3 linked regions of the Alligator mississippiensis genome follow. The protein of the gene in region 2 purifies or fractionates together with the protein of the main gene of each other region. This does not show direct contact. Links are inferred from orthologs where the notes say so. Each region holds a gene or a part of one and is shown on either strand. Other genes may lie near its edges.

Evidence for each region.
Region 1: the proteins of ZRANB1 (region 2) and HECTD1 purify together in Homo sapiens (affinity purification with mass spectrometry; 5 studies listed by BioGRID and IntAct, with this or other methods). This does not show direct contact. The link is inferred for Alligator mississippiensis from reciprocal best matches to the Homo sapiens genes ZRANB1 and HECTD1.
Region 3: the proteins of ZRANB1 (region 2) and STRIP1 purify together in Homo sapiens (affinity purification with mass spectrometry; 4 studies listed by BioGRID and IntAct, with this or other methods). This does not show direct contact. The link is inferred for Alligator mississippiensis from reciprocal best matches to the Homo sapiens genes ZRANB1 and STRIP1.

The regions. Positions count from the first base shown.
Region 1 is NC_081825.1:253,447,670-253,458,136, forward strand, and holds the start of HECTD1 (E3 ubiquitin-protein ligase HECTD1), read right to left. Parts: upstream 5,750-10,467; 5' UTR 5,619-5,749; intron 5,057-5,618; exon of another isoform or gene 4,866-5,056; intron 3,871-4,865; 5' UTR 3,741-3,870; coding exon 3,601-3,740; intron 1-3,600. UniProt on the Homo sapiens protein: E3 ubiquitin-protein ligase which accepts ubiquitin from an E2 ubiquitin-conjugating enzyme in the form of a thioester and then directly transfers the ubiquitin to targeted substrates.
Region 2 is NC_081829.1:82,513,095-82,523,561, forward strand, and holds the start of ZRANB1 (ubiquitin thioesterase ZRANB1), read right to left. Parts: upstream 5,619-10,467; 5' UTR 5,427-5,618; intron 1-5,426. UniProt on the Homo sapiens protein: Ubiquitin thioesterase, which specifically hydrolyzes 'Lys-29'-linked and 'Lys-33'-linked diubiquitin. Also cleaves 'Lys-63'-linked chains, but with 40-fold less efficiency compared to 'Lys-29'-linked ones.
Region 3 is NC_081837.1:34,615,964-34,626,430, forward strand, and holds the start of STRIP1 (striatin-interacting protein 1), read left to right. Parts: upstream 1-5,890; 5' UTR 5,891-5,924; coding exon 5,925-6,131; intron 6,132-7,187; coding exon 7,188-7,257; intron 7,258-7,872; coding exon 7,873-7,947; intron 7,948-8,877; coding exon 8,878-9,012; intron 9,013-10,467. Other genes in the region: AHCYL1 (S-adenosylhomocysteine hydrolase-like protein 1), read left to right, coding at 49-55. UniProt on the Homo sapiens protein: Plays a role in the regulation of cell morphology and cytoskeletal organization. Required in the cortical actin filament dynamics and cell shape. Part of the striatin-interacting phosphatase and kinase (STRIPAK) complexes.

The sequences.
Region 1 (10,467 bases), on a different chromosome or scaffold from region 2:
TTCCCAGTAACCACCAAATCAAACTGGTGATCATTAGTCATACTTCATTAAAACTGCAACTCACTTGGTTTGTATCACAAAGACGACTGACTACCCCTTATGTTTTTTTAAACAAAACAAAAACCCAAAACTTTCCTGTAAAAAACAAATCTGAGAAAGATTCTCTCACAGATAGAAAAAAGTATTCTGAATTTCAGTTGCTAAATTCCACAGACCAAAGTTTCCTAACCAATCATCACTAGCACTGAAAAACAGAATTTCTTCACAGATCAAAGGTCTTGAAATGCAACAGCTGTGCAATACACCACAACCTTGGCCTCTCCCAATTTTGCTGTACAGCAGGAAAACATGCTTTTAAATGTTTACCAAGACATTTTCCTAAAGGGTCAAAAAAAGGCTATGTCTACATTACAAATGGGGCAATCGGATGCCATTTTAAAGATCAGTCACTGAAAAATGTTTGGTAACAGATGTGTCCAATGCTAATCCCTAGTTAGGCAAGACAATTTCTTTCAAAATATTACTAAAAATCAACTATAGAAATACTATCAAGAATTAGATTTATCATGCTTTCCTCATGTGGCTAAGTTAGCCAATGAGTTACCCAGTTTGCAACAGATTTCAGTAACTCTTTTCAAGACAATCAGTGCTCTAAAGCAGGCCCCTGAAGGAACAAAGTAAATTGAAAATCTACCCTATTAAAAAGTTAAATAAAAGTAAACTCCCAAGATTAAATTTCCACCTACTTCAGAAGCCATACAATTTGTGCAATTTACAAACATATTATTCTACTTATATTTTCCCCGCTCTCATGTCTCCGTGAGGCAAACAGTTAAAAAAACCAAAAAAAAAACAAAACCAAAAAACCCCCCCAAAACAAGCCATATAATGAAACCAACCAGCCAATGCCTTCCACTACATAAGACAGTGGTTTTCAAACTTCTTAAAGTCACAGAACCCTTTCATATCACTTCTACCATGGAAGCCTTATCTGTGGAGCCAAGAGAGCTGGCCCAGCAATGGTGGTACCCACTCCACCATTACCCTCAATCTCTTTGTGGACTCCTTTATGACTTCCTGTGGAACCACGGTTCTGTGGAACAGTCTCAAAACCACTGGCAAATGGTAAAACTGAAAATGGTAAGTGGTTCCCATTTTACCCAAATTATGATGGGTAAAAAAAAAAAAACATAAATAAAAGCAACAGTATAACCTTACAAGTGCTTACTATATAAGCTTTTACAAAACAGCATCTAACATGTAAAGGGACCAAAGTCTTTTGTAATCAGTATTCAGCTTTTACTAAGATAATACATTTGCATTATCAAATGCAGAAAAAAAATGTTTACAAACACTTTATGTTTAACAAGTTCCTATTCAGCCCTCATCTTTAAGCATACAATGGGAATGGAGCCACAGACTTGGAAAGCAAAAGAACAATGGGGCAATGGCACCTGGATCTGGAGGAGCTCAGGGGCCAAAGGTTAAGCCCTCGCAGTCCACAGACATCCCACAGGCTGCCAGTTGGACAGCCCTGCTGTCAGAAGTTCTTTAATTGTGTACTCAAACCCTGATCAACAGAGACAAGTTAAGAACTCAGTAAATCAGTTTTTCACAGCCTAAGAGCACAAGCACCAGACAAATCCAAGCAAACAAACAGGAAAGGACCAGAGAGTTCATCTCATCACAAATATCCACCCATAATGATATTTATAAATTCTATGCTCTCCATGCCAAGGAGCACCAAATCTAATTTCTAAAGCAATGTATAATATACATTGCTATTACAATAGCAATTTCTAATTCCCAGTTACTATTGCATCTAAACTCCAGAGAAGTTGCAAATCATTACAAACATTTCTAGCAGAAGGGACATGCACTACAACTGGTCAAATACACATGACTAAAAAAAACAATAACACTCTAGCAACAGTGTGTATGTATGTATCCACAGTCCTTAGTTTAACTGTGATGGCAAAATTCAGTAGACAATAATCATACCAACCTTTGGTTTGCTGGAGTAAGGGAAAAAAAGGAAACATAAGGCCAGAAGGAAAGAGAAAAAAAAAAAAAAAAAAAAGAGAGAGACCAAAAAGGTTGAGAAAGCAGAACAGAAAGTCAAAAACCTTGCCACAACATGACACATTAGACTAGAGTAGGCCAAATCCAGTCAGCCAAGGGGTTTCATCTGGCCTGCAGCAAGTTCCTCAGTGCCACCTGGCCCAGCACATGCAGCCAGTCCCACCACCCCCAAGCCTGGAGCGCGGCTGCAGCAGCACAGCAGCCAGACTTACTTCCCAGCAGTCCTGGCGGCTACGGCTCTTTCCACGTGCTGCCACCCAACCTAACCCTACTACCCAGGCACCATGGCCACTCTGCCCCACATGCACTAGTGGGGGCTGGGACCCATGTTGGCGGGGCATGTGGCCAGGCAGATGGGATGGGGCTGTAGATGGGTGTGGAGCAGCATAAAGGAGCAGGACAGGCAGGTAAGGCCACGATCTTGGGGCAGTGATAGCGCAGTCAAGGCCCAGTGCAGTCACGATCCACTACCTGCATGGCCCTGTGATGGGCACTGATTCTGTGGGCCCACAGTGTCACTGCCCCAAGATCCTGCCCTGGCCCCACCCATCCATCCCACTCCCAGATGGGGCCCCCTGCTCACCTGGCCGTACACCCCACACTTGCGGGTCCCAGCCACTCTCCATGGAAACCACAGGGTCCCGGGGCAGTGACAGCATGGGGCTGGGGGCAGAGCCACAATCTGCTCCACACACGCTCTTACCTGTGTAACCAGTGTCTATCAAAGGGGCATGCGGGAGCGGATCATGGCTCTGCCCCAGGCCACAGCCCCACGGTCCCAGGCCTGGCCACACCTGCCCACCCCACTTCCTCACAGCCACACTCATCTGGACACGCCCACTAAGTTAAGTTTTAAAGGCTCAATTTTTACTTATTTTTTTCTTTTTTAAGATCAAAATGCCTACCTTCCAAAACCATTACTTGGCGTTTACAGAGAGTAATGTTATTACAATAAGTTGTTATAAGCCACAGATACTTAGGTAACAGTCCTAAGCGACAAAGCCAGTTATGTTAATTTTTTTGGCTTGCAAAGTTCAAAGCAAGTGCTACTACGTCTTAGAGCAAGGGAAAAAAACTTCAGTGATGCAGGCATTTTAATATAAATAAAAAAACCCTGAATTTTAGGGTTAAAAAAGTCAAAATAATTTAATTAAATAATTTAATTCCCTTTAACAAAAGAAAACAGGAACTTTTTATTTTTTTTTTTTTAACTTGCAAGAGGCCTTTTAGAAATGAATCAGCCAAGACGTGCCAGGATCAGCTACTCAATGTGTCACACTTCTTAGCATGACATGTTTATTTTGCAAAGGAAGTCATGATATTATGGTGGTATGGTCTGAACAAAGATGTAAAGGTTTTGTTCTGCATATTTTCAAGAGTGCAAAAGGTTCTAGTTTACCACGTCCAATTTTGTATAAACTTAATAAGGAGAAGTGGTTAAATAAAATTGACACAATCTACGCAATGGATAAAAAAGTCCCTACTCTTCCCAACACAAACAAAAGGAACCATACTTACGTTTCAAAACAACGATCCACGTTGTCTGACATCAGAAGCAGCATGCATAGCTGTTCCAGCGCTATTAATTGCATATCCCTTTCATCCCCTTGCCCCATTTGCAGCCATTCAAGCAACGTGTCTGGATCCACATCTGCCATGGTTTATAAAAGTTGATTTTTGCTTTAATTAAAAAGTATCCAAAAATAGCCTTTAAGTGTTCAAGCCAGAGTAAATCTAGTACAGTGAAATTTTCCCTTCAGTCAGACCCAGGGCTTTTGCAGTCTTCACCTAAAAAAAAGAAGCAACTCATAAGTATATACTCATCTCTTGCATTTGTGTCACTCAAGATTTTACAAGACATTAACCATGACCAGTTTTTTTTTTTAAATGACAAGAGTTAGTTAGTATGCTCTACTTTAGTGGAATCTTCTTCCCCAGAGACAATGATGAAAGCTTTAATCTATTACTATTTTTAGTAAAAACTAGAACTTGGAGGCAGGAGTGGAACGGCACTTCCTAACCTGTTATATCTTTGTAAGCTAGTTTCTCAGATAAGTATTATCTGAAGAATAACAATTATTTTACCTTCTCAAGCCAAAGTGTAATTTCCCAAGAGTTGAGCATTTCTGCACTCTCAGAAAGATCTTTCTATAAAAGAAAATGGATCTCTCTCTCTCTCGATTAGTACCCATTCAGAAAAGGCATGAAAGATAAATTTAGTGAGGCAGATGCTGGAAAGGGAATGTTTACTCAGCATTTCCAAATAGTTTAATTTTCTAAAATAACAAGTAAAAAAAGGGGAATATGATTTCTAAACAAAAGGACCAGAAGAGTAGAATGAAGATCTCAAAACATTTGCCTTTTAAATGACATGCTGAGGTGGTGTTTCAAATATACAGAAAATTGTATGTTCATAAGGAAAACTGTTTAGAGGCAGGAGCAGGCATACATGGCAAATGGTGCTATTTACCGATCCAATAAACACGCTGCATAACTGGCCAAGATCAAAAGTCCCTTTCTTAGTACCTTATTAGAGCCATGTCCTGTGTGCCTATCTATTATCCAATGTCCAATTAATCCAGTGATTCTCAGCTAGGGATCTGCGGCACCCTCCTGTGCCTTGAGACCCTTTCAAGGGTGCTGCAAGGTGCCATCCAACATCAGCACGGTTAGGATTACAAATGTGCTTTACAAGACAAACCCGGAGAGCTCACACAGAAACCCCTAGCTATGGTCTTCCCGACTTCTTTGCCACAGAAATGCTCTGCTCTTCTGCAATCAAGAGTCCAGGGAAAACAGCTGGGATGCCCTGCGCCTAAAAAACAAGAGCTCGAGAACCACTAAATCAAGTTGCATCAACTTTGTAAGCTGCGTCCTTCAGAGCCAGCCTCCCCCAGACACCGCAACTGCAACAAAGGCTTGAAACAGGCCCCCAGCGAAGGGGCGCCAGCTCCAAACCTCGTAATCAAATCAGGTAGGAAAAAACAAGACGAGCGCGGCCTGAAGGCCAGTACCGCCCCCTCCCCGGGATGAAAGGCCGAGACGCGGGGTCCGCTCGCGGGCGGCGCGCACGGCGGGGCCGAGCCACAAAGCCAGGCCCGGCCGGGCAAAGTCCGCCGCCCGCCGGGACCCGGTGCGGGGCTGGTGGCAGCTTCAGCCCAGGAGGGCGCAGGGGGCAGCCCTCTTGGAGCCCGCAGCCGTGACGCGGGGCCTCCTCCGCGCCGGGGCGGCCGGGCCCGGCTCCAGCCCGCGGGGATTCCCCGCCCCGGCGGCGGCGCTGGGCCCGGCTGAACACCTGCTGCCTTCCCCCCACGCCCGCGCTCCGGGCAGCCCCAGGCAGCCGCCCTCGCCCCGCACCAGGCCCGGCCCGGTCCGGCCCCGCTACGCCCCCTCCCCGCCCGCCCGCGTGCGGAAGGCCTCGGCCTGGCGGCGCCCACCGGCCGGGCCCGGCAGCGGCGCTCGAGTTGGCGGGAGGCCGCAGGCCGCGCGGGGGACCCGACTGGCGGCGGAGACGAGGCCCGTCCCCCGGCACTCACCCGCGCCTCGGGCGCTCCTAGGGCCGCAGGGAGGCCGCGAGGCGGCGGCGAGCGGCTGGCTTCCCTCGCGCTCCGCCCGGCGGGGCCTGCGGGAGGGGAGCGGCGCCGCTGCCACGGGGGGAGGAGCCCGCGCCGCCGGCCTCACAGTCACGCGCGGCCCCGGCCCCGCGCCGCGAACCGCCCCCCGGCGGCCTCGGCCCCCGCCCCGCGCCGCCCCGCGCGGCGCCGGCAAACCTGCCTCCCAACCCAGGACTGGGCTTTAGAACCGTGGGCAGCCAGTCCCGGCGCATCGCGGGGCCGCGCGCGTCTGCCTGCCCCTGGGGGCTGCGCCTATCCGCCCAGATACTGGGCGCAGATCCAGCAATAAATCCAGAGATCCGCACACATACGCGGTAACAGACTGATAGATACAGTCCAGTCTGTAACCACAGACAGATACACGTACATAGTGGTAGACAGACACAGACACAAACAGATACATGGATGTATGGATAGAACCCACTCCATAGTGACAGGCAGGCAGATACCCCTAACTACGGACCAGTCCGCACGCACACATCCCCAAAACAGCCTGCAGAGGTGACCACGGCTTCTCAGGCTTTTCTCTACAGCCGTGAGGAAAAGCTGCTTCCTTCCACCTTCACTCCTCCCGGGAGACATGACCACACAAAAGTTGAGAAGAGACTAGAGGGAGGGGAAATTTGCCAGGAGTTTAATTGTACCCTATTGACACTGAAGTTTTCAAATAGGGCAAGCAATGAAGAGGCATGGCAAAGTTTTTTTGGTGGCATTTTTTAGGTACAGTTGGCTGAACATTTCTGTACAACACATTTTCTACCAGCACATTCAGTTTCATCAATCTTTTTATTTTTTATTTTTTTTTAATCAGGCCTTGGCAAGTTTTTTCATTTAAAATGTAAAGAGATGTTTGATACCAGGTTTCATAGATTCGTAGATGTTAGGGGCTGGAAGGGACGTCACAAGATCATCGGACCCAGCCCCACTGCGCTTGGGCAGGAAAGACTGCTGGGACCCCAGCAAGGTGAGCATCCTATTTGAAATTTCTGGGTTTATTTTATGAATTGTGTAGGTGTTTGTACACCAAACAGTGCTAATATTGTGGGGCATCCTTAAAAGGTTCTCATGGCACCCAAGTTGAGAATTGCTAGTTTTGAGGTACCTGCATAGAGAATAGAAATTTGAAAAAAGAGGAGTCGCTGGGCTAGTGGATAATGGCTACAAACTGAAGCTAAACAAATTCAGACTTGGAATAAGAGTTGAAATTATAATTACTAAGGTTTGTAGTGGATTCTCCACTATACATTGTTAAAAAAAGAGTTTTAATATTTTTTATAAAATACGTGATCACGAAATAGAGAAAAATAGGGCTGAAGGGACTTCAGGAGGTCATCCAGTCCAACCAGTACTGAAGGCAGGATGATCCCCATCTAAACCTCTTCTGAAAATATTTGTCTATCCTGCATCTAAAAACTTTCTGTTGACGGAGAATTAGTTCAAACTAAAACTAAACAGCTAGGTCATATGGCTATTGTTGTGCAAGAGGTCAAACCAGAGGATCACAACAATCCCTTCAGGCTTTATAGTCTATTACCCTACACGTAGTTCATGCTGATATGATTTAAACAGTATTTATCTTGTCATCATGAGTAAGGCATAGCTATTTGAAAACCATTTTTCAAAGTACTAGCCCAGGCCGAACAGCACGTGATTTCTAAACATAGTTCAATCACATAATATTATTAATAGTTAAATAGCATTTATCCAGCCCTTTTCTTGTTTCAAACTGCTGTGCAGACATGAACTAATTAACATTCACAGCTCTCCTTGAAGGTATAATGAATTCTTTATGTACCATACAATAGTGTGGTAGGCCCAACACAAATGTAGAAAGATGTATCCTTGCCCCAGAGGCCTTCTAATCTAAGAACTTGTTTCTGTAAGCATTCATTCATGTATGCAACTTCATTCACAAGGGGTCCTATTTAAGCAGCTGAAAGATCAGGCATTACATGAATGATATGCTGACAAAAAATGGAAGAAGAAAAAGAATGTACCACAAGGTTTCCATGTTTATTTTCTTTGTGTGCATATGTATTTGTGTGTATTGCTATGGTTTAATTCTTTAATTCATCCCTATTTGCCCACTATTTAGCCTTTTTACTGAGTTTACTACCCTTAAGTTTAACTCAGGCTATTTGCCTTTTTGTTCATTTAATTACTTGGGACCCAATTCTGCAAACACCATCAACCATAGACCGTGTTGTATCAAGCTAACTTGATCCTTTACAGCTACCTTCAAACACAATAATATTTTCTTATATGGACACGCCTTTTTGTGACAAAGTCTGAGTACTATCACACCAGAGGCCTGATTTTGCCCATAATTTATAACCTCAGAATTTGTTGGTTATGTATATTATCATAGCAGTGTCTCTCAATAGTCTCTTTAGTACATACTGTAAATAGTTACACAATTGTCCCATATAATTCTAAAAACAAAGGAAGCAAAGTGCTCTGAAATTAGTGTTAAGGACCAAAAAGTCTTCACAATAATTTACTTTGTAGAATCACATGGAGTTTTGTTAGGAAACTTAGTCATGTGAGGCTTAATAATATAAATATTGTAAATAAGATTATAGCATGTTTGAATGTCATTACTGCCTACATCATAGACATTTCCTGTCATTAGGCGAAGAGGTGTATTCAGAGGACAAAAAGGCAGTGGCAGCAGTCATGCTGTCTCACACAGTTGGAACCTGTCATATGCCAGTGACTCCACATTATTCGTTCAGAAATCCTGCCTGTAGAAAGATTCTTGCTTATTCAAAGTCTGTCTCAAGAGGAGGAAAACAGGTTCATAGTCCTGTTTTTCCAATAACAAAGTTAGTTGAATCTGTGTGTCATATGTTGATAGTGTGTCACTGGGTCCAGCCCTGCAGAGATTTATGCATATGTGGAACCTTATGCTTATCCATTGTGGTCAAGGGATTTTTCACTTAACATAAAAGTAAGAATGTGCAGTCTTGGAGCTCTGCATGAGCAGTGAGCCATGAGCTCACTAGCCAATCAGGGCAGACTGGCTGAAGTGAAGGCTGCTACTGTTCACCCTTCCATCCCTCTTCCTCTGCTGAATTCAGCAGCTGGATAAAGGAGGGGACAAGGGGCTGTACTCACCTCATGGGCTCCAGCCGGACCCCACGGCAAGAGATCATGTGGCACAACGAAAGAGGGGGAGGTACATCTCACCACTGCATCCCCTCCGGATTTGAGCCCTGACTCAAATTTGTATCATAATAAGTATGAGAGAATCTTCCATTACATTACTTGCAGGAATTGACATCTCTCAAAATAATTGTTTTATATTGTCTCTGCTTATCACCAAAACATACTAACTATTCATCTTCAAAACTGACTGATTTTATAATACATTTAAGTTGAAGCAAAAGTGGCTAGTGGAGGGAAATAGAGATGGGTGATTAGTAAAAAATATTTACCTCAATTACATTTGCATACATATTTGCTTTAAGTGAATTTTCATATGAGCAAAGTTCTGCTAACATGAATATTCAAAAAGAAAATGTTGAGCCTATAGCTAAGATTTGTTTAATCATTAAACTAGTTTCAAACAGAAGTCATTTATAAAGTTTAATTCCTCTAAATAGGGAACATAATACCATGTGACAAGTGACAGAATTTGAATATGAAATCATGTGAAAGAACAATCACATTAGTTTTAGCTTGTAAAAGCTATTTAAACATTCATGAATAGTAAACAAATTGGTAAAAAATTATATCCTGCTCATGAATACCACATGAAGAGCTAAATTAATTGTTCACTGCACATGGTTCACCTAGTTAGTAAGTGCAGTGGGTACTAGGCCTATATTCTAATTCTGTGTGTGGCACTCACCTCTTTGTACGTTTGACCAAGTCCCTTACTCTCTGTATATCTCAATTTGTCATTTACAAAATAAGAGGAGTGTAGTAATAGCCATCTTAGAGGGCAGTTGTGAGACATACCTCTTGAGAGATATTGACTTGTTCAGGTAGAAGGTGCTATGTAAGTGCTCAGTATTATATTTGGAAATAAATCGCATTTAGCTGGAACAGTGATTCTCAACCAGGGTGCCATGGCACTCTGGGGTGCCTTGAGATCCTTTCAGGGGTTCTGCAGGGTGCTGCACAATGTTAGCACCATTACATGTACAAACATGATTCACAAAATAAACCCAGAGAGTACATTAACACATATAGGTACGTGTGCTTGCAGCAGTTTAAGTAGCAGTGGCACAAATTTCTGCCGAAGAATTGTGCCTCAGCACATGTGCCTGAACATGCACTTTGGTGTGGGGCAAATTGTGCCACTTGAGGCAAACTGACCCTGCTCAGGTCCTCCCAGATTTGCAGCCAGGGGGAGCTAAAGGCTAGACCCCAGCAGTATAAAATCCTGCCCTGGCAAACAGCTCAGGGCTACTTGTTCTCAGGAGTTTCTGAGGCCTGGCCACTTGGTATCTGGGGACACTAGCCCCTTGTGCCAGCTACACTGCTGAAGCAGCCCTAACCTAGAGTGGCCCCTGCACCCTCTACCCACTGCAGCGGTCTGGCCGTGGGGGCTGCTGCCTGTCTGTGACCTGCTGCCACATGTGACAGCATCTGCCCCCTTGGACTTGTGTCTCCATGGCTGCATGCCTGCCAGACCCAGACAGGGACCACATGGCTGCCTGGGCTGTAGTACAGGCACTGCAGAAGAGCCACCTGCACCTCTGGGCCAGCTGCCAGTGGGCTGTGGCTGCACAGTTGGCCTTCAGGCAGCACTGCTGTCATGTCT
Region 2 (10,467 bases):
ACTCTGACTATTTTACAAAGTTAACAAAAAAAAACTCACTTGCTGAAAATAGAGGGGCAGAGGGTAAAGAGAAATCAAATATATACTTTTTTTAAAATCCAAGTACAGTAATTTGTATGTTGATCCACCCTCTCCAGCAAGTAAAATCAGAGAAGCAAAGAATTGGATAGTACCATATACTGACCTCTGCCCTTCCAAGAACAGGATTAGAACCTCTTTAATAACAAACAATAAGAAGTTTGGAGAAGAGACTGCATGTCTTTAGCAGTTAGAAGAGAACTGATTTTGTGGAACAAGAAAATCATGCACTTTTTGACTAGTGATAATCAAATACTTACTGTGCTGTGACGGTATCCCTGTTTAAAGAACGAAGAGCAGCACAGCTAGCATGCCAAAGTTAGAAGTCACCAAAGAAATGCTACATCTGCAGGCAGAGCACACTACACACACCAACCACTACCTGCTTTCCTCCATTCTTCCCCACAATCCTCTCTTCCTCCAGTAATTCCTGCAATATCTTCCAACCCTTGGCAAGAGTTCTGTGTCTTCTACCCCATGTTCCACTCCTCAAATTACCCTCCATGCTACACCCCCATATTTTCCCTTTTTGTTTCTCCCATTTTTACCTAATTCCTTAGGGCTTTGCCCATTATCTAGAACATTTCCTGAAGTTCTGGAATTGTTTGGATGCAACATTCAAACATTACTGCAATACAAACAGAAACGACACAGTCAAGTGTACAACCTTGCTTTGGTTGGTCAAAGATACTTGGCTTCTAAAAAAAAAAATCTGATAAGGACATAATATGAGTAAACATAGGAATAAGTACATTCAAGTTATTAGTGGCTAGTCTGTTTTCACATGTTAAATTATTCCAATCCAACTTTGCTTCATAAACTTCGTTGATTGTTGAAATATACATTTTAAAGATCAAAAGTAGTCCCACTGAAGTCAAAAAAGTATCCAAATACGTAGGCTTGGCAGGATTGAGTTTTTAATCAGTAAATGCTGATATATGTCACTTTCACATCATACTCTCAGACTACCAAAAAAAATTTCCATCATTAGTAATCAAAACTGACAGAAAGAGCACGTAAGAAAAATGATGGCTGATGGAGTATGTGTTGACAGAGGGAGCAGTTCAACAAAATCGTGCTAATTGTAGTTTAGACTGCAACTCCTAGAAACCCCAGGGGACTGGGAACAAAGGAAGAGGAAGTGACAAAGCACAAGAGGGAGCTACGGACTAGTGGAGCTGGGACCGATGACAGCTTAGCCACTCAGCTGATGAGTCCTACAGTAGTTGTGCTTGTCATTAAGAGTTTATCCCCCCCACACCTCATATCACACAATCCTAAGAATTTAAATTGATAAAAATCTAAATAAATACTTAAATAAACATTAATCTATCAAAATTATTTAAAAAATAAAAATTGAATTCTACCAAGCCTATGAATATGTAGTTTTATGCTGTGTACACACACACTTGAATTGTCTTGCGGTATCCAGTAATAGCCAAACATAAGCGATGTGAGACTTGACAAGAAAGCTGTGAAATAAATTTATTTGCAAGATTGACTACTCTGTTCAAGTGACTAATTTAAAATTAGTGAAATTAAAAAAGTTTTAAGTAAAAGCCAATGTACATATACATGCACGTCTTGCATTTCTATTTTATCTTTTCATAACATTCATTCTTTATAATACACACATAATTTTGGTCAGCTACAATGGCCATCTCCAATCCACTGAGTTTCAAACTTGCCTGTTTCAGCATACCAGAAAGCCTTATGGACTAGTCCAAAGCCCATTGAAGCAAGTGCTAAGCTCCCTTTTGATTTTACGGGTCTCCGAATCAGGCCCTAAATGGTCTGAAGTTAAATTAGAAACTGAACACCTACCAAAATTAAAGCAGGAAGTCTTAAGAGAAATGTGATCCATCACCTACACAAACAGGTGCACATGAACAGAGTGTTCACTGCCTCTAAATCCAACATGAAAGTATTAAAATGTTTGTTGCATCTACGTAATGGAGCTTCTCTCTACTATTCTAGGTCACACTTGTAAATTTCTTTACTCCATGGAGAATGCAAAACAAAAGCAGTTAAGGGCCATTTTATAAAACACCTTTTAGCCATATCATGAGAAAAAAAACCTCCATAGAACATAACAAATATTACTAGTTACCAATATGATTTCTTTACTTTTCTCAGTTTTTTTGTTTTGGAGTTGTTGTTTTTTTACATTCTAAATTAATCACTGCATTAAAAAAAACCAACAACACAGAAACTAGTTATTTGGACAAATCAATTCACTTTAGAAAAAGAGATCTATGCTGAAAGGGAAAATTCTCATTCAAGCCACGATCAGGAGTCAGAGAAAACAACAACAACAACAAACAAACAAGAAAAAAGTGCCAACTTGATAAAAGGAGAAATTCAAGTATTTGGCTTCACTGGACTTTAAAATGCAGGAAAAATACAAAAACTACGTGCTGGAATGTTATTACTGGCAGTGAAATGCCTAAAATGTGAACTATGTCTAGGACTGTAATTAAAAATTGTTTTTAAAAAGTGCAACAAATTGAATTTCACTGTTATCAAAGTGACAACTATCTGCTACTTAATTTTTTACCAAGCTATGCTATTTGACAGCTAAAGCAGTCAGCTCATCACAAGCTATGTAACAAACATCAGTGCCAGAAATACATTAATTTTGCTACTTTTCTCCCAAATCATTTATAATGCTAATTAGCAGTCTTGCTTTCAAGATTATTTTTTTTTTTTTTTTTTAATTACAACTAAATCGCTTTCTTTCCCTCGCCACCCAATACTGACTTATTTACTGGTCTCCAAACACTACACTTTTAGCTCTATTTTACTACAGGATTGTGGCCTACTAGTCATCTAATTAGGATGAGGTCTATCTGCTCACAAGCAATTGGTCTGTTCAAGGCTCCTGTGTTTTACAACGTTAGAACACATGAGATTATTAACAGAATTTCTGAGATGAGGGGGAACAGATCCAAGGGCAGTTTAACTACCATGTTAACTTCAATGTATGATGATGCAGCACAAAAAGAGTTTAGCATGCAGTTCTATGTGTGAAGTAACAAAAATGGATAACTTACTTTAGCCCTATGTAAGAAATATGGGAGAACAAAAGCTATGTGAAGCTGGAAATAGAACTTAAACATGGGCTGATTAATACTTTAGTTAGCCTGACACCGTATCAAATACTAATTAAAATTCATGTGAATTTTAAAACACACAAATTATGTTACTGGAATTCATTAATATAAATAAAAAGCCAGGCTTCCAGAGATTCAATATTTTAACACGTTTCCTTTGTTAGGCTAATGGACAGACATATGCAAACAAATTAGTTTCTAGAGAGTATGTATTAAAGCTGGCCATGATTTTTTCTTCTGATAAGAACTGTAAGATTACGCACTAGATGCTACAAGGGTCACAACAGCTTTTAACATGTAGGCCATTTTGCCACCTCCATAGTTGTGGGTCAGTCATTTACTAACCCACCACTCCAAAGCCTGCTATGCAAAGATAACAAAGCTAATTAAAAAAACCCACCTCAGCAAGCACAACTATTTTATATGTTCTTTAAACAACAGGGATAATTAGAAGTGATGCTTGTACATTGAGGTTGTGTAAGCTCTTCCATAACGCACTGTTGTATAGGAGTTCCAACCCTCCACAGTACAAGTTTCCCCTTGCTTATGATGTCCATGTGTTCCTGGAAAATGGTGCATAACTCAAATCCACGTAAAGGGAACAAACAGGAATATGTTCCAAGACCTTGACTGTACTGATCCCCAGACCCATTTCTACCACTTTTACAAGACAATGTTGGTACTCCCCAACAGCAGACAGTACACACAAGCACAGTGCACTATCATAATGGGGATGGCAACTACAGAAATGCACATCGCAGACGAGCAAGGAGCACAGATGCACACAGGAGACTATTTTAATGCACGTCACTTCCACAATGCACCGCACAAAGTAGCTGATTGTGGGTTTCCACCACACCAATCGCATATAATGAATTTTTGATATAAAAAGGGTCACTGCGTAAGAGTGAATTTGCACATACCAAACCCACGTAAAGCAAGGGAAACCTGTACAGGTCTCCCTCGCTTTACACAGGTTCTGTACATGCAAATTCACTCTTACACAGTGACCCTTTTTATACCAAAAATTCATTATATGCAAGGTAAATTCACTATTATGCAATCGGTGCGGTGGAAGCCCAGTCAGCCACTTTATGCGGTGCACTGTGGGAGCAATGCGCACCAAAATATAGTTCCCCGTGTGAACCTGTGCTCCTCGCTCGTCGTCTAGGACACGTTTCTATAGTTGCCATCCCCATTATGGCTTCTATGCATTCGGCTAGCTTATCTCCTACCCCTCTCTGCTGTTGATGAGTACCAAAATTGTCTTGTAAAAGTGGTAGAAGTGGCTCTGGGGGTCAGTACAGTCGAAGCCTTGGAACGTGTCCCTATTTGTTCCCTTTATGAGAATTCAAGTTATGTGCAGTTTTCCAGGAACACATGCGCAGCATAAAGCGAGGGAAACCTGTACTAGCTAAAACGTGAAGACACGGTCTTGACCCAAAAGTATTTTTGATCAATTAAAGTCCACTGTGACCCATGCTCTATAATCAGTATAAAAGCAAGGGTTTTAAATACCTCCCCTCATTAAATTTTAAATCACAACCCGCCATCCAAACACCGGGACGAGGGCCATCAAGCAGATGCCATGACAAGAGCACGCTTAGCGAATCCTTTGCTCCAAAAGCCTGATTGACGCAGTGGCTAAAGCTGCTAAAATCCTAGGAAATGCAACAGAAGCAGAAAAGTTACTCCGGGGCCGTCACGGGGACAGCTCTATCCTGCACCGAAAAACGTGAAATTCGTTCTTCACGTGCAACTGCAGACTGCACATCGCTACAAGCCTCTGGCTTCGCTCTCGGGCCTCCCTCTCCCAGACCCCAGGAGCGGCACAAAGCCATTCCCAGCACAACCGCTCCTGACTAGCTAAAGTCGAAACATCCCAGACCCCAACGGATGAATCCCCCTCCCCCCCTTAACTGCGCGGGCGACCTACGATGGGGGTGGGGGAGGAGCTGGGGGTCTCGTGCATGAGTTAGGGAAGTAAATTTGCTGCGGCCGATCCGACCCCCCTCGGGGCCCGCGGGATAAGCACTCGGGGCAGGCAGGGAAGCGCTCGTGTCCGCAACCTCCCGCACACCTGGGGGGGGGGAAAGTGTTGGCGGGGGTGGGGGAGGGGGCTGCCGGGCCCCGAGAAGCCTCCCCGGGCCCTGAGCGCGGCCGCGGCTCAACGACGCACCCCCACCGAGCTCCAGCGTCGAGCCCCAACCCGCGAGCGGAAGAGGGGTGCCTTACCTCGCTGCCCGGATCCGTCCCTGCAGCCGTCCGCCCGCCAGCCCGCCCGCCCGCGCCCCGTCCCCACCCCGCTCAGGACATGGTGCGTCCCAGCCGGGCTGCGCTGTCTCGGGCGCGGGCGCTCCCACTCGGCGGCGCCGGGGGGTCGGGCCGTGTCCCGCCGCCTCCCCGCTCCTCTAATGGCGGCGGCTGAAGCGAGCCAAAGCAAAATAAACCCCCATTCGACAGCCAGCTCGTACGTCAGCGCTGCCTGGCGCCTGGCCTCGCGCTCATTGGCCCGCAGCGCCGCGGCGCCCCGGCCAATGGGAAAGCGCCTCTTTGGGGCAGAACGGGTGATGTCATCCCCCGCTTCGCATTGTGAGGGGGCTCCGACCCCTCCCCCCGGAAGCTCCGCCCCCTCCCAGAGAGCCACAGCCCCCCTGCCCTCAGGATCCCAACCCGCCAAGGAGCCGGATCACCCCCAACAGAAGCCAGAGTGGATCCCCCCAGGGTGGCAGGTGGCAACGTGAGCTGTTTGCCAGGAAACTTTGGGCATCCCTTCCTGCTGCTGGCTGAAGATTGAGTGTAGGGGGGGGCCCAAACTGTGGGCTGCTTACCCCTGGGGGGACACAAGCCACCTCTGCGGCAGGGGCGCGTGGGAGACGCTGTGTGACAGCAGGTTTAATGTTCATTCTAGTCATAATTGGTGTTGAAGGAGTTAAAATATAAAGTGTATGCTGGGAGAGGTGCGTGGCCGCCTGGTAAATCTGGAAGGGGAGGGACGCAATAAAAAAAAAAAAAGTTTGGGCTGGTAACGCTGGTCCTCAGAGGAGCTGACCCCTCGATGAAGTAGGTTCTGCAGCTACCCCCGTATAAAATTGAGAGCTCAGTTCTCACGTAAGGTCCATTTGGTTGGATGTTATACATCTGGGTTGGGATCTACACAGGCCTCGCTTCCGGGACCGCCATCAACCACCTCACGGTCAACGAGAATGAACTGTATTTGTTATTGATTGTAAGACCAAAGGTATCAGATGAGCGATACAAAACTTCCTAAAGGGTGCTTTTGAAGAGGATCCTTTCAAAGGACACATAGTGCTGTAACTACCCCGCTGCAAGGTGCCACTGCGAAGGCTGTGGTGCATCTAACCCCAGCCAGCTCTCCGATAGTATTTTTTGTGTAATACAAACACAGGTACTGTAGTGCGTCTCCGAGTACTAGCATCTGCAGACTCCAGCCTTTAGTAGAATCCCCTTAATGCACATTTCAAGAGAAATGTTTTAAAAGCACTTTCAAAAAAATATTTATCTTCTCAGCGTTTTGACTTCAACTGTTGCATTAAGCAAACCAGCAGTTCATTGGCAACACGTAAGGGGTGCACCCAGGTGCTCGTGCCCCCCCTACAAAAAGGTGCCACCGAGTGTCAGCGGTGCCTGCAGGCAGTCGCCGCTCACCACCCGGCTCCTCGCCACTAACAGCTCCAGTGGCATCTGCAGGAGCTCCCTACTTTCCACCACTGCGCTCCCACCACTGCGCCTCGCCAGCTGCCACAGGGCACGCGTCATTCATGCAGCAGTTCCTAACTCAGGCCCATGGATGATGATCAGAGATATACAACATTGGCTGTGCTAAGGGACTCCTCACGTGTAGTAGCTGTGGTATTATTTTAATTCCTCTCCAAGAGGGCACTTTAGTGGCCTATGAACTCCATCAGTCAAAATTCAGTTCTTTTAGCATGGTGTCCTTGGGGGGGGGCCTTTATGCTGTCTTCCTGTAATCTTCAGACTCACCTTTTGCCTCCTGCTTGCAGGCCACTAGCCTGAATTCTCCAACTGCTGCTGGACCCGGCTCCCTGACACCAAGGGGTTATTCTAGACTTCTCACTCGTAGTTCTTAGGCTGCTCAATATCTAATTTTGCATCTATAACCAGAGGCTGCTACCTTTGGCCTCCTGCTTCCCTCTATGTTTTAGCTTCCTTCTGAATGTTACTATTTCTTCCCAATTTAAGTTGTATGGAACCTTCTATTAGCTAGCAGTCTGACCAAGCCTTCTGCCATCTCAATTTTTGTTTGCATTTTTTTGGTCTAACAGACATCTACTGAATTCAACCAGGGGCAGTGTTTGTCTTTGGAGTGCCCCAGGGAAAGTGTCAGTATTGGGCCTTGTTCTTCCAAGAGAAGAACTCTACTTTGGACAAGGCAAATGTTATTACCCACAAGAGACCAAAATGAAAGTATGTCTTCATTTACAAGAAAATAGGTTTGATACAAACAATACTGAACAGGGGGAAAAAAGAATGACTTTGCCCTGTTAGCCTGGTCCTACATTCTCTGTCTCCACTGAGCAAGTGATGTCCCAAATCATGCTTTGGCAAGAATGCCCAGAGTTAAATATAATTAACTACACACACAAAAAAATTGGGACAGCCATATTTTTTTATTGCACAGCCAAATATTAGATCCAAATCATAGAAAATTTGGGTTGGAAGGGACCTTGGGACATCATTTAGTCCAACCTGCTCAAAGCAAGACCATCCCCAACTAGATCATCCCAGCCAAGGCTTGGTCTAGCCAGGTCTTAAAAACCTCCAAGGATGGAGACTCCACAGCTTCTCTGGGTAACCTGTTCAAGTGCTTTACTACTCTGTGAGAAAATTCTTCCTAATATCTACCCTAAACTTCCCTTGCTGCAACGTGAGACCATTGCTCCTTGTTCTGTCATCTGCCACCACCGAGAACAGTGTAGCTCAGGGGCAGGCAATTATTTCCAGCAGAGGGCCGCTTACCCAGTTTTGGCAAGCTGTCAAGGGCCGCATGGGTAGCCCCGCCCCTTGACAGGTGCCCCGCCCCCTGGTCACCATCTTGGGACCAATGTCCCAGGGCCAGCGGCAATGGGGTCCAAAATGGGGCACAGGCTGGCAGCGGTCTGTGGAGCCAAGCTGAGCTGCACCAGCAGGGAGAGTGGGGAGCTGACCCAGCTCCATAGAGCCCCTGCCAGCCGGGACCCCTGCACTCCTGCCGCCCTGCTCTGGGCCCTGCTGCCCCTGGCCCCAGGACACTGGTGTGGGCCCCATGTTCCCACTGGCTCCCACACCCACTCATTCCCAGTGCCCCCCCAGCCCCACAGTACAAGCGGGAGGCAGCATGCACCCCTGACCCCCTGCTCGCTGGCAGGGGACAAGATGGTGCTGAGCACGGGGAAAAGCGGCCCCTCCCCCACCCTGTGGCTGGTGTCCCACGCTGCAGCCACTCGCAGCCCGTGCAAGGCTGCCTGTGCCTGCTAAGGACAGCCCTGCGTGGCCTGCGAGCAGCTGCAGCAGGGAGTGCTGGCCACGAGGGTGGGGGAAGGGCAATTTTTCCCGCGTACTCAGCACCAGCTCGTCCCCTGCACTTCCCACCCCCCCCTTCCTACCTGAGCTTCCCATGCTGGAGGAGCCACATGGTCCCAGACCAAAAGCCCCTGCTGGGGCTCCTGGCTGGGGGGCAGGGCCGGCCGGGCACTGCTGTTGCAGGAGCCCGCCGGGGCTTCCTCTGGGTCCTACTGCCCCTGGCTCCTGTCATTTTTGACAGGAACCAAGGACAGATAAATATTAATTTTCTACATTTTTAGGGGCCTTGCAGGCCAGATAGAATGGCTTAGCTGGCCAGATCCAGCCCATGGGCCATATTTTGCCCACCCCTGGTCTAGCTCCATCCTCTTTGAAACCACCCTTCAGGCAGTTAAAGGTTATTGTTAAATATCCCCCAGTCTCCTCTTCTTCAACCTAAATAAGCCCAGTTCCCTCAGCCTTTCCTCATAAGTCATGTGCCTCAGCCCCATCACCATTTTTGTTGCCCTCCACTGGACTCTCTCCAGTTTATCCACATCCTTTCTTTAGTGTGGCCTCCAGATGTGGTCTCACCAGGGCTGAATAGAAGGGAATAAATCACTTTGCTTGATCTCCTGGCAACACTCTTACTAATGCAGCCCACTATGCCGTTAGCCTTCTTCGCAACAAGGGCACACAGTTGACTCATAGACATAGTCAGCTTATTGTCCACTGCAACCCCAGGTCTTTTTCTAAAGAGCTGCTGCTTAGCCAGTCAATCACCAACCTGCACCGGTACATGGGATTGTTCTATCCTAAGTCCAGGACTTTGCACTTGTCCTTGTTGAACTTTAGGAGATTTCTTTTGGTCCAATCCTCCAGTTTGGCTAGGGGTCTCTGAATCCTAGCCCTACCCTCCAGCATATCTACTACTCCCCACCCAGCTTGGTGGGAAATGGATTTGGACAAGCTATCTTTAAGAAACAGTGACATTGTTAGAGGACACCTATTTTCTTCATATTATATTGTCTCTAATAAGAGATAATTCAGAAAACGAACCTTGGTTTTAGGAGATAATTAAGCAGTTATCTTTTTTTTTTTTTTTAATAAAAAGGCAAATGCTGTCGTAAATATTAAGAACTGTTTTAATAGTGAAATACAGAAAATATCCAGAAATAACTGTTAGAGATGAGACAGGCTAGAAATATTAAATTTACATTAAAACAAAAGATAATTATAGTTATGGGTTAGTTAGCTTCCAGGGTATTTTCTAAATTTCTCAGGAAACAGATAACTTTCTAGTAAAATGTAATACAGTGAGCTACATCAGCAAAACTGTGGTATAAATCCTGGAAAGGACTGTAAAAGCTAGATTAAAATATACTAAATTTTTTTTTTTTTCACAGAGGAAAGAGGATAATGTAAGTAAACAAAATTTAAAAAAAACTATTATTAAAATAACTTTAGAAACAGATAATTATTCTGTTTGTAAAAATAGTTTTACTGTTACCGTGCAAAATGGAAAGTCCATATCATAAAATATTTGTAAATACAAAGTAACAGAAATGAAGAAGTTTCTCATTAAAATATTTATTGAAATCATTCATTATCAACAATATTACTATCACAAGAGAATACTGGCTGTATTTTAAGGACTCCAGGACCATTTTTCTTTTATGACCTCTAGTTGTTGGCAATGCTGTCCCCTCTCTTTGGCTTCATCTCAAAAGCTGCTGGCATCTCCCAGGTTTAC
Region 3 (10,467 bases), on a different chromosome or scaffold from region 2:
AGACAGTACTCAATGCCTGACTGGTCTCCCCCTTTCCTTCCATTACAGATACTGATGGACCATAATGGTGAAGGACCAGACCACACGAGACAATTTAGAGATTATTTTTAAAGATCATTTTATTTTGTTTTACTCCTTTTCTTTTCTTTTTTTAAGCTGTTTTTATTTTTCTTTTATCAGCGTGATTTTAATGTCACTTTTTTGTTTGACTTTTTCATGTGATCGCATCTTTCTCTGTCTGATCCTGGCAGAAAACCTGGGATTTGCTTTACTGCTCCATGGCCAAAACCAGCATGGTTTCAGGCTTTCACTCATGGAAAGATTTCCTTTCCTGATCATGAAGAGTGATTAATTCCTGCAGTGGTTTTTACCTTTTCCAGTGCACCTTAGCTGGGATACCTGAAAATACTGATATACTGTACTATATGTTTTTTTTTTTCTGTGCAGGATTATCTGCAACTTCTAAATTGCCTTAATGAGCCCAGTTTTTAGCTGCTAGTTCAGTGCATTGGAGCAGAGCGGCACCTAATGGCCAGCTAGGGAATTGGTGAATAACCCCAGACCAAATTTCCTACGTGGAGGTGGTTTGGAGCCTGGTAAGGGTAAGCCTCAGTGGGTGTTATCTATTCTGTTTCAGGGTGCTAATCTGAATTTGAATGGGGATTGGTAACCAGCATAATCCTCATTTTCCTAGGTATTTTTTTTTTTAGCCAAATTGCACCTTATTTGAGTTTTAAAAAATCATTTTTTTTCCTTTTATTTTTGAGCCTAAAAAGTTTTAATGGAGGTGTTTCCGAGTGGAAACACTGTGGGTCTGTCGGGGGCAGCTAAGAACATGCTGCCGCCCGTCCAGCTAAGGGCAGTTCTTGTTGGAGGGCTCCAGTGTGCGTTGGAGCCTCCTGTGAACTCCCTGGGCTTCTAAGCAGAAGTGAGTTTAGACACAGAGATGGCCCTTCCTGCTCCTGTCCCCTGCTTAACATGGGAGACATTTGATGATGTAGCACCTTTTTCTGTCAGCTTTTCTAGCAGCGTAGCTCTCATGCTGAAGTCTAAATCCTGCGGGTGATGGACCGTTCTGCAAAGCACTTAGCTCCATCTTCAGGCTCTGTTCATAGCAACTGAACGTTGGAGGCAGAATCTTTGGCCAACTGCTCTGCTGTCTTCTAAAGCCTTTCAGCTGCTTTAATCAGCTCTTCCCTCCCTAGCCCCTTAGGTGGCAGGTTGTCCTATTTTACTTGGTTCAACATATTCCAGCTCCGTGCAGAAGGGCCAAAATGCCTCTGTGGTTTTTCAGCCCTTGGCTCCAAACTTAATGTGACAAAAATCACAGCACAAAATGTACAGCCTTGATTTCAATTCATTGCTCAGTGAATGTACAAATGAAAGAGCTCCAGGGACCCAGCTCACAAAGGGATTTCTGCTGAGCATGTGGCATTGGTCCAGGTACTTCCAATTCTGCTAGAATCTGCTGGTACAAAGACAATCAAGGTGCTACAGTGGACCGCAGCCATCGCCTCTTGTGCTCCCTTGCTATCAGAGGTCACTTTCTGGCCAATCTTGCCCACATATGGAGGATACATTCCTAGTGCTCTCTTTAAGAAACCTACTTCTGCTTGTTTGTGGGTGATGCTGGCTGCTTGCTCTGTCTAGGAGATAAAAGCTCTTAGTTGATCAGAACAGAGGCTAAGTTAAGATTAAAAGGGGTAGCTCACCTTCCCAAAACCATGCAGTGTCTCCAGTGGCTAGTCTCTTATTTCCCCACTCTCTTCTTTACAGTCCAGCACAGCTCCTTGGTCATCTTTTCTGCCCCTTCTCTGAGATGCACATAGCTTCTTTGCTGACTCATTGCTGCCTTTGGCTGCCTCTGACTGCCAGACCCGCTTCCAAAGGACCATGCCTTGAGTGTAAGGATTGCTGTAGTCTGCCCTTGTACCCCTTCCTCTGCAGCCTGGATTTCCACTGAACCAACAAGTCTGTGATCTCTTATGGGCGGGGGGCTGGAGGTCTTGGTCTCCTTGTCTCTCGCCCAGTGAAGAGGATATGGCTGGGAACATGGGGAAGCTCTCTTAATTGTTGATGCAATCCAGAGGGTTTGCCATGCACCAGGACTCTGGCTTGCGCTTTCCCTTCTCGCTTTGTACGTGCATAGGAAGCTCTTGTAATTGCAGCCCTGGATCTCAGAGCAGACTTGGTCTCCCACTCAACCAAGCAGAGCCCACATATGTTCCTAAATGTTTGCCCTTGTGACTGTTGGGGGGGTGGGATCCTGGGCAGTTCCAGAGTCCAGACCCCCTCTGTTCCATTTGTCTGTCTCAGTGTTAGTGTCAAAAGGAATCTTAGCTTAAGGGCTTCATCTCTGTATAAGCCATGTAACAAAAGGACACAATGGAACAAATGGTCCCACGTCTAGGGAAACCTTGATTCTGTCAGAGGGAGCATGTCCTCATCGACCTGGGAGGGATAGGTTTATTTTGTATATGAATGATTTTTAATGAATGCAATATTAATCCTTGCAGATGAGCAATAAATCATTAAAGTCTAATTAAAAACGATTAGAAAAACGACATCTCTTGCGCGGGAAACTTCTTTTAAAGACATAGCCTGGCACCTTCTCATCAGCAGGTCAGCTGTTGCCATTTTGGGCATGGGAACAGAGCTGTTGTTTGCCCCTTTTAATCAGGACCTGCTCAGACAAACACATGGTGGCGCACACTTCATCCTCAGCAGCTTAACAGTGGGTGGTGGGGAGAGGGGCGTACAAAAGTAGCCGTTGCCGCAGTGGAGGTTGATCATGCCAACAGTGTGCGACTGCTCTAGGTATAGAGTTGCACTGCTATCCCTCTGTTCATCCTCCTGATGAGGTGGTCAGACCTTTAATTGATGGGCTGTGTAACCTGGTAGGCTTCTTATGGATACAAAGCAATGACCTGGAGACACAAGTCTTTCTTCTGCATTTACTAGATTCATTCAGACACTGGAATCCTTCTGTACAGCCCCCTGACAAGGGCTCTGCTACTGAGCTGTGTTATACTGGCGTAGGATACCGATGCATCAGGCTCCTGTTATGACCAGCAAATTCTGAAGCAAATTGCTAAAGGAATCTGCTCTCTATCTGCCTGTTGATACAGATGTCACCTAGTGTTTGTGTTTGTTTAACTAGTGTCCCTTCAAGGTCCCTTTACAAGCCTGCTGATGTTCAACACAGTCCTGTGGATGAAGTTTTAGAGCGGCAGTTCCCAACCTTTTTAGACAGTGGACCGGGAAACTGTGGGCCAGTATACTGCAGTCTGGAAGTGACGGGCATACTGCAGACCGGCAGCCAACCCTTTTTTATATACTCAGTATAAAAAAGGGTTGGCTGCCAGTCTGCGGTATGCCCATCACTTCTGGTCCAGCAGCCAAGCCTTCGTGGACATGGCCCCGGGGATGGGATCCTCTGTTTTGGAGGATGGAAACTGTTTGTCAATAAAACACTTGATGACCACCTACTCTGATTTTTTTTTTCCCCCTTCAGTCCTTGCTGCTCCCTGGAGGTGCAGTGCAGATATATTTGATGACAAGGTGCTTAGCCCCACATGGGGGCTCCCTGAAGAAATCAGGTTTAAAATTGAACACCCTTCCTCTTAGGCCTAGGATGTCTAAAATGGTTCAAATTCCAATGTAACCAGTTTGCCAGCCTCATTACTACTGACTTAGCATGTCCAGGGCTAGCGTCTGCCAGGGGTTCACTGAGTGGGGAAATCCAGAGATGTGGATCCTATTTGTGGCTTCAATTTCTTCACGTAAATGCTAGTGCTGATCTTTGGGTGAAGCACCGATGCCTCTGAGTGAAAAGCACCAGGGAAGCAAGAAGATGAAACTTAACCAGACTTGGACGGAAGTTCCTTCCCTTAGTTATTTTTTTACATTTTTCTTTATCACTGAGCTCTGCTGAGGTGCATGACTGCAGTTTGAAGTCAGCTGAGCAACCCTTATAGAGCTTTGTTGCAGACAAGCGCCGGCGCCATGTTTCCCTGCCATCTGCCCGCTCTATTTTGCGTTTCCGGGGTTGGTAACAAAATCCTGCTCAGTCAGTAGTGTGGGGAGGAGGAACTTTGCCAGTGCCGACATGCCTACTTCTCTGAGCAAAGCTGCTTGGGGCCACCGTGGCCTTTTGGAGCCTGTGTACTGGGAGCTGTTAGGACTCCAGGGTCTCTTATTAGCTTGGTTGCTGGTATTTTAATAACCACTTTATAGCAAGAGAATGGGAACACCTTAAGCCACTTTTAAAACAGGGCAGTGGGCATAGACCCTCGGAGGTAGCCTCACTTGAGCTTGGACCCTCATAATGAAGCTAAACAGGAGCTGGTCACATTTGAGCAACCTCCTACCGCCCATCTGCTCTAGAGCCTGCTGTGAGCTGCCTGCCACCTTATGCAAAAGCTGCTTGCATGGATGAGCGTGCATGCCCTGAGCAAGCAATGCAAAGACGGGCGTGTTGCCATTTCTGCCCCCGGCACCCCCAGGACTTCCACCTGTCGGCTTGCAGCTTACAAGGCTACCCGGCTCCAAGCAGGCATTGTGGCACTTGCCGTACTACCAGGCCAAACCCTGGTGCTGTCCCATCCCCTTCTTTTCAGAGCCCGGCTGAAAACACCAAACGGGTGACTGGGCTCTTCCCATGAAGCTGCACGTAGCCCATGCTCCAGAGAGCCAAGCAAATAGCAGAGACCACTGCTGCTGCCGGACTCGGGATAGGTTTGTGCTTTTTTTGGAAAATTTTTCATGTCCCAAGTCAAATTGGCCAAATCCATTCCGAATTTGTGAGTCTTTCAAGAACCAGATGTGGCCCTGCTACCGGCAAGCATCCTCCACCCCACATGGGGCTTCAGAGGTTTGCGATGTCTTTGGTGGGCATCCTACGTGCAGGCCCAAGCCCAGAGGCTTGGGGTTCGGATGCCCCCGAGTTTTGCTTGCCCTCGGCCATATGGCCGCAAGAGCAAGCTAGGGAGGAGTCCCCTATTTCCATAAAGTTGGCGTGTATCTGAGATCTTCCCACTGGAAGTGAAAGTGGGAGGCCAGTGGGAAAGCCACTTCATAGTCATGGTGTTTCCCCTGCTGAGACAGGTCCTTAATGCTACCAGAGCCCCTCGCGAATACAAGAATACAGACCTGTTGGTTCAGAAATGATACCTTTTATTAGCCCAACTAAGAAACCGCAAAAAAAATTCTCTTTTTTCTGCAAGTGTTCGGGCTCAAAGGCCTGTCCCCATCTTGAATTTGCCCAGAGCCTGATGAGATGTTTGCATTTCTTTTTGTCTCAGACCATTACGACTACCAAATACGTTCCTGAACCATTAATACAGGGGCTTTTTTTTTCCCCCTGGTGGAAGCAATTGCAGGGGCTAGAGGTACCCTGGGGAAGCTGTTTGGAGGCTTTGGCACTAGCTGGGGCCTGGGGACAAAAGGGGTGCTTTCCTCTGCCACTTGTTTCCTGTTCAGCCTTGGGTGTATCACTTCCTCCACTTGTGCCTCGTTTTCCCCGGCGTTAATGACGGTGCTTTGGCAGCTGGGACCAGGCCATGACGCCTTCAGGCCTCAACTGGGCTCCGGGATGAGTTTAAATCGCTTTCTGTGCTCTAGCTTGAGATGGCCACACCTAATATGGCCGCCCGGGCGGGGAAGAAGCTCCTTGATGGCCACACCCAGCATGGCCGCGCAGGGCGGGGCCCATCAGCGGCGGTCACATCCAGCATGGCCGCTGGGGGGGCGGAGCTATGTTCCATTGGTAGCCACACCCGGCATGGTGGCGGGGGGCGGGGCTTGGCGAGGCATCGAGCATGGCGGCGGCTCCTCGGCTCTTCCTGCAGTTCTCGCGAGAGCAGCCGGTGAGAGCTCGCGAGATGTGGGCTCGGAGTGGGGGGCGGGGGTGAGGCGGTGCCAAGATGGAGCCTGGCGGCTTCGTGGGGCCGGGGCCGCTGGCGGCCAACAACAAGCCGCGCAGCGGCCCGGCACCGGCACCGGGGCCGGGGCCGGGGCCTGGTCCGGGTCCAGGCCCAGGTCCAGGTCCAGGCCCAGGCCCAGCGCAGGGCCCGGGCCTGGCAGGCGGGAAGGGCCGCGAGTTCAACCGCAACCAGCGCAAGGACTCGGAGGTCAGCGGAGGGGTTGGGGTCGGGGCTAGACGGGCATGGAGGGGGTTGTGCCCCCACGTCTCGCGTGTGTTGACACCCCCTACGGTGCCCGTCCCTGTGGCAGGCAGGGGGTTGGTCGGGTGGGGCCCCGATGGGTGGTGCAGGGGGCCCGGCCGGGGCTGGACGCCATGTCCCCTCCCAGCCCCGCAGGCAGGTCGTTTCCGAGTCGCATCTGCTGTGCTGCTTGGGACACGGATCACCGTCTTTCAAAGAAGAAAATGCCGCCTCCTTCCCAGGAGCTGATGGAGACGGAGGAGCTCCCAGCGGGGGTGGGGGGGGGGGTTGTGACGGGTCACAAAGGCTCTCAAAGCCGGAGGCTTGCCTTAGGGCCGGCCGAAGAGCCTCTTCTCAGGAGATTAAGGCTGTGTCTTGAGGAAGTCCCGAGGAAGAGCTTTCTCTTTCCCCTTGGAAAGGCGCGGGATGATCCTTTCTTCTTGTGACAGGTGGTTTAAAGCAACTCCGGCGTCTCGCTGGCTTGTTATTCTCCCCCCCTGCACTCGGGCACTTTCCCCGTGTTCTTGGACTTCTTGTTTTTGTCTGTTTCTTACTTGGCGTGGAGGGCCCTCCTGCACGTGACATCCCAGCGATGCATTTCTGCAGGGGTTCGTGCTGTCCGACATCAATGCGGTCTCTGAGGCCCCTGTGGTCAAGACCTTTAATGCTAGGATTAAACGAGAGGTTCTGTCTGTTTTACACAGTGATTTTCACTTGAGGAGATCCCCACCCCCCAAGTTGTCTTGAGGCCAGTTGTGTGTAGAGATCACGTATGGCTGCGCGCAGCAGCGCAGAGCAAGGTTACACAAGAGAGCGATCAGTATTACATCAGCCCAGAAGACGGGGGATACACAGCAGGTTGCCTCAGAAACATTTAAGATCTGCTGATAAATGCCGGGTGTTCGGCTGAAGATGCAGCATGAGCCTGCAGCAGGGGGTTAACTTTTATTGTTCTGACTGATTTACTGATGCTTTTTAATGAAACGTGCTTTGTTTAAAAGTGAATTTTCCTTCTGTCACCAGGGCTATTCCGAATCCCCAGACTTGGAGTTTGAATATGCAGATACCGATAAATGGGCTGCGGAGTTATCTGGTAAGGGAATTTAATCCCTCTTGATCTCTAAAGAAAAGTTGTATTTTGCTATGCACTCATCTTTAGCTGCATCTTGGTGTTGTGTATAGTAAAGCTAATGCTATTTTGAACCATAGTTTTTGCCATATGCTGTGTTTTATTTGTCTTGAGTCGGACAACAGAAACTGTTGGTTCCGTTTGAGTGCGTCTTTTTCTTTCTTTTTAATTGGGTTTTTGGTTGTCATCCTAACAGTTGCTTTGCTGTTTGGATTACAAGTACTTCTAGGCAAAAATATCTTATCTCTTAATTTAAAGACATCTTTAGTTTGGCAATAATAGTTTTAACCATCAAAAGTTTTCATGTTAAATTTCACTTGCATAATGCCCTGGGTTTTTTTATTGTATTAAACTCTTGATTATGTGAAATGTGAGTGATGGGGACCTTAAAAAAAAAAATTAAAAAAAAAAAAAAGAAAAGAAAAAAACACATCTGATTGTCAGGAGCTTTAGGATTGAGTTCTGTTCTGTGCCTGTTTGTTACGTGACTACCATAGGCAGTCTTTGAGAAGTACTTTTTGGGGGGGATGCTGAAAGAAAAGTGACAACAACCAGACACGGTTTATGGTATGTTGGCAGAACTGTACAGCTACACTGAAGGCCCAGAATTCCAGCTGAACCGAAAGTGCTTTGAGGAAGACTTTAGGGTCCATGGTAAGATAAGTTTATTCTTCCCTTCTTGTCCCCTGTTCATAGGTTTTAGGGTCACCTGTAGAACATTCATGAGGAGATGCAAGTACTGATGTGTTATCCCTGTGTCAGGGCAGGAACTGACTACAAACATCCCTTACTTGGTTTACAACTTATAGTATTTGCTGGCAAATATTGTCTCTATCCAAGGGACACCTTGCTAATGTACCTCACCGATGAGCACATTGTTTCTGGCTCATTCAGTAATTTATCTCTCTAAATGTGGTGGACAGTTAGTGCCAATTGTGGCTGTGGAAGGCACTATGAACAATCAACTTATTTTACCTATGCCTTTTGGTCTCAAACTGGGATACTTGTATCTCATAGGGCATGTGGCAAACTCCTAGAGGGCATGTGAAGGGAGGAATGGGCAAGCAGAGAAAGGAAAAGGGAAATATAAATAGGGAAAAAGGAAGAACAATTCTGCAGTTTCTCTTAAGTTGTTGGATAGCTGATGTTAAGGGCAGCAGTAATGACCTAGTATTAACTTTTATTATCCATGCTATGGTACAAGACCCAGACAGTTTGGGAAGCCTGACCTACTGTTGACCAGCTATTAGACTCTACTGATTTCTGGTTGTAGCTGATGTGTATTTCAAAGGATAAGTCTCATTAATCTGATCTTGCAGTAGCTGGCATTAGTGAGTCTCCTCAGTGTGACCTCTAGCAGATCAGATATGTTTATATTCTGTTCCAGGGTTGTGATGAACATCTTGCCCAGATTGACAGTCTATCTTAATGTCAGTACTGGATACCCTGAATTTTTGGCCATGTAATCTGCATCTTTACATAGGAAGAAGAGCTGCAACTGGTCCATGGTGTTGTGGCTTTTAGGGAGGTATAGAAATAGCTAGTCCTTCCATTTCACCAAAGTGATCGTTCTTGGTTTTTCAGTGCATGATAAAAAATGGACCGAGCTGGACAACAATCAGCACCGGACTCATGCCATGCGGCTCCTCGATGGGCTGGAGGTCACTGCCAGGGAGAAAAGGCTCAAGGTAGCCCGGGCCATCCTCTATGTTGCACAAGGTAGGGGACCATGTCAGCTAAGGGGATTTGACCCTCCTGAAATCACCCCGGCCCTTGCTTTTTCTGTGCTGAATCTGTAAGGGGTGTTAGTTTAAAAAACAAAGAGAGAGATTTGAAATCAGTTTCCTTTGTGTCCCTGCAGCTGTCTCAAGCTGCTTCAAAATGTTATTTCTGTAGTGCCACCGCCCTTAGGGGGTCTCTTCGCACCTGTTGCCCAACTGGTCCTGGCATGGGGCCGGCCAGTATGCCAGGCTCCTGGGCTACAAGTTCTAGAATGCTTAAAGGGGTTCTTGTAGCATTGGAACCGGGCACCCCAGGGTGCTGGGCTCCTGGTCTGCAAGTGTTCCAGGATGTTTAAAGGGCCAGGGAGCAGGCTGGGAGAGCAGAGAGCACCAGTTTTCCCACCTGGGCAGCCCATGCTGATAGCAGCCTTGTTCCTGTCTCTGCTCTGCAGCAATGGGATAGGGCAGCCTGCAAGTCTACCTGACAGATCACTCTGTGGTTTGTCTGCTAGCCAGCTGTCTGCTAGTCTGGTAGCTTTGGAGTGGGGGGAAGGAGAACAGAGCACTGTGGGACAGTGGGGGGGTCTATCTACCTGGCCAGATGTTAAATTTGTGTTGGCATTAAGTTCCTATTTAAACAGCAACTTCTTTGTCACAGATTAGCCACCTCTTTGCTGGGACAAATTCCATTGACGTCTGGCATGGTGTCATTTCTCGTGGGAAACTTGACCATTTCCTGTGACGTGTATGGCCTGGAGGAGACCTGAAATACCCTTCTTCCCTTCCCCTTCTTCCTGCCTCTTTACTAGTGTGTGTCGCTCAGTTTCCAGCAGTGAAACAGACAGACCATTCTCATCTCGAGTCCTAGCTGGGTTTGCATTTTGGGGCTGGGTTCCGAGGCCCAGGACACACAAGTGTTTGGAGCAAAGATGGTTTTGAGTGTCAGAGCTGTGCTTCTCAGAAGTGCTTCTGATAACATATTATTTAAGCTGTCTTTGGGCTCTCTGTTCTGCCTATACTGGCATCTGAGGAGGTTCCAGTGTAAGTTAGAGCTGTCTGGGGCCTTGCAGCAGCCTTCCTACCGCTGCCAGTAGAACACTCCATAGCACAGTGTGTGGTGCTAAATGCTCCAGCCACTCATATCAAGCCTGCTGTCTGTGCTGTGGGAAGCCTGGGGCTATGGAGAGAGGCCTTTCACAGATGCTGCACCCTCTGAATTTTCCCCTCTAGCTTCTGTGCCCTGTTTTTACAGTTGCCATCCCTGGGCCAGGGCTCAGGCAGGACACTGGTCTCTTTCTTGTGTGCTAACAAAATTCCAGGGCGACCTGTTAATTCTATCTTGGTGGTTCTCAGCCTTTTTGGACCCTTGGGTAGACTTGAGGTGCCCCTCAGAAAATGCCAGCTCTTACTTTTCACTCTTCTTGCTTATGGAAAAATAATAGTGTAGTTTTTT